2 linked regions of the Oryzias latipes genome follow. The protein of the gene in region 1 interacts with the protein of each later gene in a pairwise test. Links are inferred from orthologs where the notes say so. Each region holds a gene or a part of one and is shown on either strand. Other genes may lie near its edges.

The links. The genes of interacting proteins can lie anywhere in the genome.
Region 2: the proteins of homeobox protein Hox-A1a (region 1) and regulator of G-protein signaling 17 interact in binary tests that used the Homo sapiens proteins (3 or more experiments, as listed by UniProt). The two-hybrid records come from large-scale screens. The link is inferred for Oryzias latipes from reciprocal best matches to the Homo sapiens genes HOXA1 and RGS17.

What each region holds. Positions count from the first base shown.
Region 1 is NC_019869.2:11,314,793-11,320,002, forward strand, and holds homeobox protein Hox-A1a, read right to left. Parts: upstream 3,407-5,210; 5' UTR 2,931-3,406; coding exon 2,327-2,930; intron 1,923-2,326; coding exon 1,555-1,922; 3' UTR 878-1,554; downstream 1-877. UniProt on the Homo sapiens protein: Sequence-specific transcription factor. Regulates multiple developmental processes including brainstem, inner and outer ear, abducens nerve and cardiovascular development and morphogenesis as well as cognition and behavior.
Region 2 is NC_019865.2:27,315,365-27,320,004, reverse strand, and holds the end of regulator of G-protein signaling 17, read left to right. Parts: intron 1-642; coding exon 643-831; 3' UTR 832-4,013; downstream 4,014-4,640. UniProt on the Homo sapiens protein: Regulates G protein-coupled receptor signaling cascades, including signaling via muscarinic acetylcholine receptor CHRM2 and dopamine receptor DRD2.

The DNA.
Region 1 (5,210 bases):
AATCTTATTTTAAACCTGAGAGAACAAGCTTTGGCTTCAAATAAGTGATTAGAAATAAACAAAACCAACAATTTCAGATAAATGTTCTGTAACTTACTCTTGTCTTGCAGCGTGCTGCAGAACAGGACTGAGCGACCCGCTCTGCAGCCTCAGTGGGTGTCCGCAGTTCAAATGCTGCAGCTCCTGCAGGTGGATCCAAGGTGAGGCTGAATGTGGCACATTAATCAAGGCTCTTTCGTCGTTTCTTTGCCCTTTTATGGTGGGGTGGAATCGCACTCTGCACACCAGGAGTTTAAAAAAAAAGTCATCCGGAAACTCCAACCATGTTCCCACAGTGCTACGTTTTTGTTGTTGCTATTTTTTCCACTATTTTGCCGCCCAATATCTGAGGTAAATTGTTTCTTTGGACGTTGTTCTGTGAACACTCCGTTTGTGACATCCCGTGCTGAAAGTTATCATAGTTCATCTTGTCGTTTAGGGGAAATCGTGGCACTTTTGTTGAACTTGTGGAGTTGTTGAAGACGAGAGTGGTGGGGCTCCCACCCTTGTCAGTGGCATAACCTGGATGTTTCAATCAATAGAGTTTCTTTTTGTCCCCTCAATATAAGCCGAGAGCTCGATAAGGTTGTCATCACAAATGTCGCTGCTGACACTCGCACTCTCATCTTCCCCGCGGATAAACATGCCTTTATTATGCCAATACCTTTGACCCTTGGGATGGCCGCGCGCACAGCCGCATTCATTGTCAGGCTTGATGCGTAAAACCGACACGTAAAGTTTGTGCGTTTTTCTGCAGACATCTTGTGGGTATTGTGCATAAATTCTAACCCAACATCCCAATACATGTTCCCCCAAAGACGTGACAAGAAAGAAAACATTCAGAGCGAGACGGACTTTAATGCACACGATTGACCCGTAAACGTCTCTCTGGACAAAACAGTTTGCATGTGCATCGCGGGATTGAATATATACAAAGCCTGAAACACTAAAGCTTTGAACGGCCTGTTCCGCAACTGATAAAACTCAGCGCCACTGCAGTCATGACACGTGAAGGCAGCTTGCAAATCTCACAATACATTCAAACAGTCGACACACAGACACCTGAAACAGATAAATAACAGGGGAACCATAACAGTTCACTCACTAAACATTCAAAAACGAGGTATTCTCGTTGATTGTGTGTTGCCTTGGTGATGGCACAGTGCGTTCACACGTGTGATCGGAATGCACAGCTTGGGCACCTTTGAGGTATTCATTTGTCAGCAGATTTTTGATTATAGCAGCAATTGGCAGGTAGAAGTGACACCATCTAACAAAGTTTGGCAAATTTCGAGCCAAATTTAACGCAATGGGGCTTGTTTGGACAGCAGCGCCTTTGTTTTTACAGATACATAATACAATATATAACAGTTCTTGACTCCAGAAATCACAATTGTCCAGGATCCCTAGTGTTTTCCAATTTATGGATGTCTACACAACAAAAACTTCAATACAAGTAAACTTAGGTAAATACAGAACGCTGTGGCCCAGAGAGGAAAGGAGGGCAGTTGGTCCTCAGTTTGAATTGTAGGCATCCGCTCCTGTGGAAGACACCGTGGATGAGGAGGGGGAGGGGGTGGAGGGAGCCGAGATTGACTTCTCAGACGCAGCATCGTTTGTTTTTTCTCCCTGGTCTGAGGTAGAAACTTTAGCTGGCATGAGTCCTTCTTTTTCGCGCTTCTTTTGCTTCATTCTCCGGTTCTGGAACCAAATTTTCACCTGAGTCTCATTCAGCTGCAGCGCAGCTGCGATTTCAACACGGCGAGCCCGAGTCAGGTACTTGTTGAAGTGGAACTCCTTCTCCAGCTCTGTCAGCTGCTTGGTGGTGAAGTTGGTTCGAACAGTGTTCGGCTGACCAGAATATCCATATTCACCAGACCTCCCTGTGGGCAATAAATTCTTCACTTTAAAAACAGACTGGTTGGTTTTCTGTCATCAAACAGAACGTAAACTCTGGAACAATGTCGTCATAACTTCACTTTTACGCAGCGTCTGATAACTTTTACGCATCGATCAGTAGTTATCCTCTTATATTTAATATAACAAATATACAAGTTTTATTATATACTTTAGAGCACATTATTTTCTGAGAATGTAAAGATGTAAACTTTTTCCAGAAGCAAACATTTTAGCTATTAATCTTTCATTAATCTCGTTTACACATTAGTGCGTCCAGTGAAGAAGCATGTTGTAGGCGCCCTTCAGCTCAAAGCTCGGATCATTTAACCCGCTTGTTTTAGACACTACGTATACGTCCATGCACACACAAAAACAAGATAGCACACACCTGTTTTTGGTGGATTCCTCTTAACTTTCATCCAGTCGAAAGTTTGCGCGGCCACTGCTCCCTCGGACAGAGGGGAACAACAAGCTTCCAGGTGTCCGGCGTGCAGAGGGGACAGGGGGTTCGAGGCAACAGGATACGCGGCTGTCTGCTCATGCCCGCCGCCATAGGCAACGTGGGTATACTGCAATTGACCCAGGGGGGCGGCACTGTAACCATGACGATGCTGAGGGACCACGGATGAGGATATGTTACCTGCATACATGAGTGGGCCACACTGAGGAAATGCAGCTGAGTCTACTTCCTGGTTGAGAGTATAATGGTTGTAAGAGGCGCAGAAACTTTGGGGTCCATAGTTGGAGTTGCAGGCCGGATGGGCCCCGCAAGAGAGACCAAGCGAGCCCGCAGTAGACTGGTATGACCCCGAATGAAGAGAGATGCTGTCGGGAGACGTCCTGTTTGACATGAAGTGCTCATCCGCCCCGCAGTTGTTGACAGCAGCCCCGCAGGACTGAAAACTTGTAATCCCGTGGTCCGAGTGGAAGGTTCTGACCGAACACGACCCACTTTCTCCGCTCATCACCGAATAGTCTAAAAAGCTGCTCATTGTAGCATTGTTGTGCCCTGACCGAGGGACTGTCTTCTTTGCAGACACCCCTCTGCTGTCTTGCCGCTCCCCACTCTCACCCTAAGTGATCCTGCCAACTTGTACCTTAACTCAGTTCTTATCAGTAAGGGAAGGAGGGCGCGTGGGGTGATATCAATGAACGGGTGCTGTCACGTGGGCCAGGGTCAGCCAGTAAGGTACTTGTCCTCGTCCACTTAGCCGGTGACAGATTGGTGTTTGAGGGGCTATTTAAATTCCAAGCGCTCGTCGATCAAGGTGACGCGCGCCGCCACTAATGTATGGGCCAAGCAAACAATGAGCTGGGAGTCAGACGGCGGTGGACAGCTCCGGGGTCGCAGGAGGAGCGGGACGCTGCAGACATGCTGTACCGTAACCCCCGCTGCCCGCTCTCCCACAGGGAGAGATTAGCGAGTCACCCTCCGCAGCCTGACATGACGACGGCCCAACACTTTGACCCCAGGTACGGTATTTTTGGAACACAGAGAGATCATTGTCTGCATGCGTGTGTGTTGGAGCGCGTGCACGTTCGTGCCCTCCACGCTTTATAGGCGCGATATCATATAGCCTATAACCGTGTCACCCTCCCTGTAGATGGATGGATGGCTCAGAGTGCGTGTGCCACTGCCATAGGCTATCTGTGGGCTATTAATGTCCCATTCTAATGCGAAATGTTTCACGCTTGAACATTAAGGGATTTTCTCTGCAAATATTGTCACAGTGCGACAGTGAGGGAGAGGCAAGAGGGGTTCCGACTTTCTTCCACTGACAGAAGCCTTCTTGGGCTTTGCATTTTCTGTGCATCTGTTTTAGCATGCACAAGAAAGTGACGTGGCGCTGCACATCTGTTTTGAGCGTGTCACTTCACAGCATGTGGCAGTGAAAAACGACAACCCCGGCCTGAACTTTTTACCCCGACACATCCCGGCTCGCCCCTTGTGGTGACGCAGTAAAATGACGCGCAAAAAAGCAGAATGCGTACAAATAAATAAATGTCAAGAATGATGAAACGGCAAAGACAACACAGGGCTTCAGATTGAGTTGTTATTAGTGTGTTTCTTTCTCCCGTGGTCGCGGGGTCGTCCATTTGCCTGCAATCCTCTGCGTGTTTTCATTATGCATAAATGGTGATCAAATAAAATAACAGGATGAGGTCTGTCCTGGCGCTCCTGATTACACTGCTTCGCGTAAAGCTCGTGGAGATATTAATGGCACCAAAAAGTAATGGGGAAATCTATGAGTGTGAAGAGAAGAGGTCTGGGGGGGGGGGGGGGGGGGGGGCTACTTAGGGCAGTGGTGGCAGATCCCCAACCTCTCGAAAAGGAAGGAGAAGAAAAGGGAGGGAGGCAAAAGAGGGGAGTCACTTGGAAGAACGAGCGCCCCTACAGGCTATAGGAGGTCAAGCAGACTTGATGTTTATTAACATTTCATGGTCAGTAGTTTTCTATAGATACAGACTTCTAAGATGATTCTGAGTTTAATTGAAGTTTTTAGTTTATGCAACCTTATACGTTTTCCCAATGTGTGAGGGCAAAACTTAAAAAATCCCTTTCTGCATAAAACTACTTGCAGTTTTCCCACTTTTTAGACTTTTAAAGTTTTGTTTTAAGATTAACTTTGTTGAAAACTGTAACAACGGTTTGGAGACTTATTTTCTCCAAACTGCTACCCTGACCAGACCATAACCAGACCAGTATCACGGTGCCACATGTTGCTGGTCTGTTAAATGAAGTTGAATTACAACATGGTGATTTTTGTCTCTGAAATAATTCAGAGTTAATAGAAACAACATTTTCTTTTTTCAAGTTTCCAAGAGATACATAAAGTGAGTTTGGTTTGTAGGGAAATAAACTTGCTGCAAAAACAGATCCCTTAGAAAATAAGTGAAAAGTCTTAAAATTTAAAAATTTTTCTTTTAATAAGCAAAGAAATCTGCCATTGAGGTAAGAAAAACTGTCTTAATTAATAACTTTCAACAAAACAGGAAAATTGTTTTTGAAATGAGGACCTTTGAACTTTCTGAAGATTCAGTTTTTTGCAGTGCAGAAGAACTTGCTAACAAAAAAGGGGGGGCGCATTGTGGGTCAGTTCCCCACACCCACCCACCCCTCCCTCCCTTCTCTCAGTTTTCCCAGCTGCCTCTGCAGTGAGTGGGCGCATAGGACCATGCCTTGCCTGCATGTGTAAAAGCGCTTCTCCGGGCTTCAAGGCTTTTCTTGGGTCTTTGTTTGAAGTCAGGCGCACAGAAAAGGCGCGCTGTCT
Region 2 (4,640 bases), on another chromosome or scaffold:
TTCCATTTTTCGGTTGTATCATTGCTGCTTTGAAATTTCCCACTACAGTTGAATGGAAGTGACTTTTTTTGATGCAAAATCATTTTCAGAATCCTTTCTGAATATATTAAAATATTGTGTTATTAGTGTTTTTGTTCTAAGGATTTAATTGTGTTTTGAATTTAAAAGATAATGTAATTAAACATTTATTAGTAAAAGCAGCAGGGTTTATATATATTTATAAAAAAATAAACGAAATAAATAAAAGATGATGTCCACATATCTGGACTTGTAATCCTTTATGGGGGCTTAAATCTACTTTTGCAACTTCAGAACTGCAACTTGAAGTTATGATTGAGGTTAACCGTACTTTTCCTCTAATGTATTCATGCCAACTGGTGTCATTTCAAGAACCTAACTGGATTTTTTTTTCAAAAAAAGATTTAAAAAAAAAGAAAGAGCAGAAGAGGAGTATATTTCAAAGTGCTTTTATTTTCTAACACAAATGCAAGAAAAGACATAAAATAAGATCAGATCAGTGGAGTTTATCAATTCACATTGAAATATATGAAATCCTCCTAACAAATGGTTTCAAATGAATGTGTGGAGGTCAAAAGGTCCAGCTTTTGCCCCCGTCCTCCTGACAAACGCGTTTCTCCACAGGTGAGCCTGGACGCCCGGGTGCGGGAGGTCATCAACAGGAAGATGCAGGACCCCACGCCTCACACGTTCGAGGACGCCCAGCTGCAGATCTACACGCTCATGCACAGGGATTCTTACCCGCGGTTCCTCTCCTCCAACATCTACAAGGCGCTCATTCACGGTGGCTCCCGCACCTCCTCGGAGTCTTAGTGCCACTCCTCCCTCCACCGTCCCGCAGGACTGCTGTCACAGCCTTTCATCTCTCCTCTCAAACACCTGCAGCCTTTTTCTACCACATTCGGATTTTCTTCAGAACCAGAATATCTCCGACTGCCACGGCTTTGCTTTGCTCTTTTTCAAGTTTTCCCTCCTTTTTTTCTTTCTTTTGCCTCTTTTAACCTGACACCCCGGTTTTTCTTTTTATCCATCTGTCTTAAAACGCCTGCTATAACACATCCCAAGCAGAACTCGGATCAGCGGAGCGGGTTTACACCGCCAGAAAATTCTGAACCAAACTGACTGAGTTTGCAGGATTCCGCCCCAAAAAAACAACACAACAACACAAAACTGCGATCCTCGTCAGAGCAGCACGTCCCACACCAAACAGGAGTTTATTTTTGTATTCAAACTTTAAAGGGTTTTTATGTAGAATGTATCACGCCGTGTTCTTTTTCTGTCTAATCCATGTTCTCCCTTCGGTTTTTTTTCCTGTTTCCTGCTTTTCTTTTCAATTTTCTACCACAGTCTTTACTGACGGAGGCAAAAAAAACAAACAATTTGGGATTTCTTTTTTCTCTTTTTCGTACGTTTGGGAGATGAGCGACAGAATCTGCTGCGTCTCACCAGGAGAGAGTTTCATCTGTGCCATAAACTTTTAGTGCATCTGAAAAATGCTGGTTTTCTGTTCACCCTGCGGTTGCGCTTTCTTCAGGACGGTCAAGGAAAGACGGCAATCGACGAGTCTCTCCCTGTTTCTGTCTCAGCTGGAGCCCCGGCTGCTCCCTCCGCCCGCCTCCACCGGCCCTCGCTGCCCTTCTTGCTCCCCTGCCGCCTCCCGTTTGCTCCTTTCACTTCTGTTGTCATCAAACGGACATAGGAAGGCTGCCGCTTCCTTCAAACTACTGATTTACGCAAAGACCTGATGTCTATTTTCTAACAGATTTCTCACTAAGGAACATGTTCCTTTTGTTTCTTTGGATTCTCCTGATCGCTCTCGTCCCTGGACCCCCCCCCCCCCTTTTTTTTCTTCTTTTTTTTTTTTTTTTTTTCGTCAGGAGGAGGGAGTTTCTGCTGCGACTATACTGAGTTCCAGCCAACATCACAGATGCTGCAATAAAACACTGGAGTCCAGAAACGCACCGACATGCACACACTTCAAGCACACGTGTGTGACTGTACTCACAGAGCGCGCTCTGGAAGGGCGCCAGGCGATCAGGGATTCCCGTAACAGGTGATGACGCTTACGACCCATCAGGCACAGTAACGGCAATCGGCCAATCGCACCGCAGAGGCTTGCTCCACGCTGACATTCAAACTGAGCATTGGAACAGGGACAGATGAGGGTTTAAATGAAGCCAACAGTTTGGTTGAGACCTCACTCAAACACCTTTGAATTCATGAGCCCCACTTGAAGGAAATGTCTCCAGTGTGCTCATCTTTGGGTGTCCTCTTGACTTCTGTTACTGACGCTTTGATGAGAAGCTATGTTCACACCAAGCGTGTTCTAGACCGTCGGTTTGGCCCAATGTGTTCACCCCAGAGCAGGGAGGGGCTTCTTCTTCTTCTACAGTTTATTAGCGCGTGTGCACCACCTACAGTCGGAAGAGGCTTGGTGCAAAATGTCAAAGCGGTGTAAACCTCGATCCAGTTCTTTTCTGATATATCAAAGACAATTTCCTTTTTATGATCAATTTCCAAATTGTTGGCACTTCCATGAATTATAGCGGACGTCATCCATACGTCACTACCAAATCCAAGTCCCTGATTGGTCAAAGTTCTACCTGGTTTAACTGCCAACGCGCGTTCAACGGCTGTGCATTTTGTGTGTAAAGCCCAAAAACAATCATAGAAACTTGCTATAGCACCTACATAGACTTTTCAACAAAGGTGGGGGCTTGAACGCATGTTGTTGAGGGCGGTGTGAATGTAGCTCCAGTCCTGCTGTCATCCGACACTCAGGCAAAACGACGGCGAAGCGCCTCGGCCTGAAAAGAAACAAGTCATTAGTCAGAGTGGTCCTGCAGCTGAGACGTCTCACTTTACGCTGCGTCTGTGTGAGCCTGCAGAGCGACAGGAGCAGACCTCTAACACTCCACACAGAACTCAGTGGTTCCCAAACAGACGGGCAGGTTTTTTTTTTTAAATGTTATCCTCATCGGGTTTCATTTGGGTTAGCTTTGCTTGATGAACATTTTTGTTCCATGAGTTCAGAGGACCTGACCCAACAGGACAGGCCCCAGCAACCCCATCACCCTGAAAGGGGGATAGAAAATATTAAACAAATATGGAAAAAAACTTTTCAAATTTGAAAAAAAAAATCTATAAATGTGAAAAAAAATCTGCCAGAGATGAAAAAAAGGTCCGTCCAGCAATTCTTATTTTTTAAAACAAAATTCTAGTAACTAAGACGTGTTTTCTCAAACTAATATTATTTTTCTATTGACAATTTTTCGTGAAAAATGAGTCTTTTTACTTTCTTAAGATTTGGTTTTTGCAGAGCATGTACTTCTCTCAAACATATATGTAATTTATTTTTGTTTGTTTACAACTGAGAATAAAAGTTTAATTTGTTCTTTTATAAAGATTAAAAATGCATTGCAATTGTAAAACAAAACAAAAAACTGATCAGTTTTCTGCAAGACTGACAGCCTTGAGTCTGCCTCTGAGAGTACAGTAACACCAACACCCACACACACACACACACACTCCAGGGTGGCGTACCTGGGCCCTGCTGCTGCTGACCTCTGCCTCTGTGACCTCTCACCTTTTGTCCTTGACACTGTCAGATGCTCCCGTGGACGCCTCCTCCTGATTGGCTGCAGGGATCCCCATGGCTGATCTGTGGTTGGTCTATTCGCTGAAGGAGGTGGGAGGAATTTCCAGATGCAAAAACAAAAAAAATAGGAACCAATGAAACACGACTTGACAAATATTTTCTAAAACATAATGAATATGTGAATTGGGAGGATTCCACCCAGTGCTTCATGGGAAATGTTGTTTGGCGAGAACAAATGTCTGTAGTTTAAATTAACAGAAAAAAAAAGATGCCTAATTCTTTACTGGACTTGTCACTCAGAATGCATTTATCTTAGTATTGTTAATGTTATTTATTTTATATTTTGTTGAAACTGTGATTTTAACTGTACATATATAAACAAAAACCCTTGACCATGCATTGGGAAGCAGCGTTGTCTGTTCAGTGTTGGGTCAGTTTACTCTTAAGCATGAACTCGATCTGTTGATGCTAAAATGTGGTCCATAAATTCAAAAAGAAGAAGAGAAAACGTCTGATGAAGCTGGTGGAGATGAGACGAAGAAATCAAGAACTTCTCTGTGAAGTATCGTCTTCAAAAACCAGGACAATATTCCGACACAAATAACCAGCGGACACCCACACAAGGTCAGTTTTACAAAAATTCATGAATTGGGAGGTTTTTATATTTATTTGATCTAAGAGCCCAAATATCCATCCATATGTTGCGTGAAGGGGACCAAACCGGAAGGTTCCACCACTCCAACACAGATTTTTTTTATTAGTATTTTGATTAAAAAACACTTTAAATAAAAAAATATAATCAGACTGGGACTTTAAAACAGAGTCCCGGTTTGCTTGCAAGTGAACCCTGATGTGGTTTGTTACAGTGTGAATTCAAATGGACCAAAAAATACAAAGAATTGACATACGTTCTGTGCATTTTCTAATAAGAAAAGAATGACTGTCTCGCAAATCCTTTGCTGCAGGAATATTCATGGAAGATTTTTATTACTAGACATACGGTGAGGTCAACAAGTATTTGATC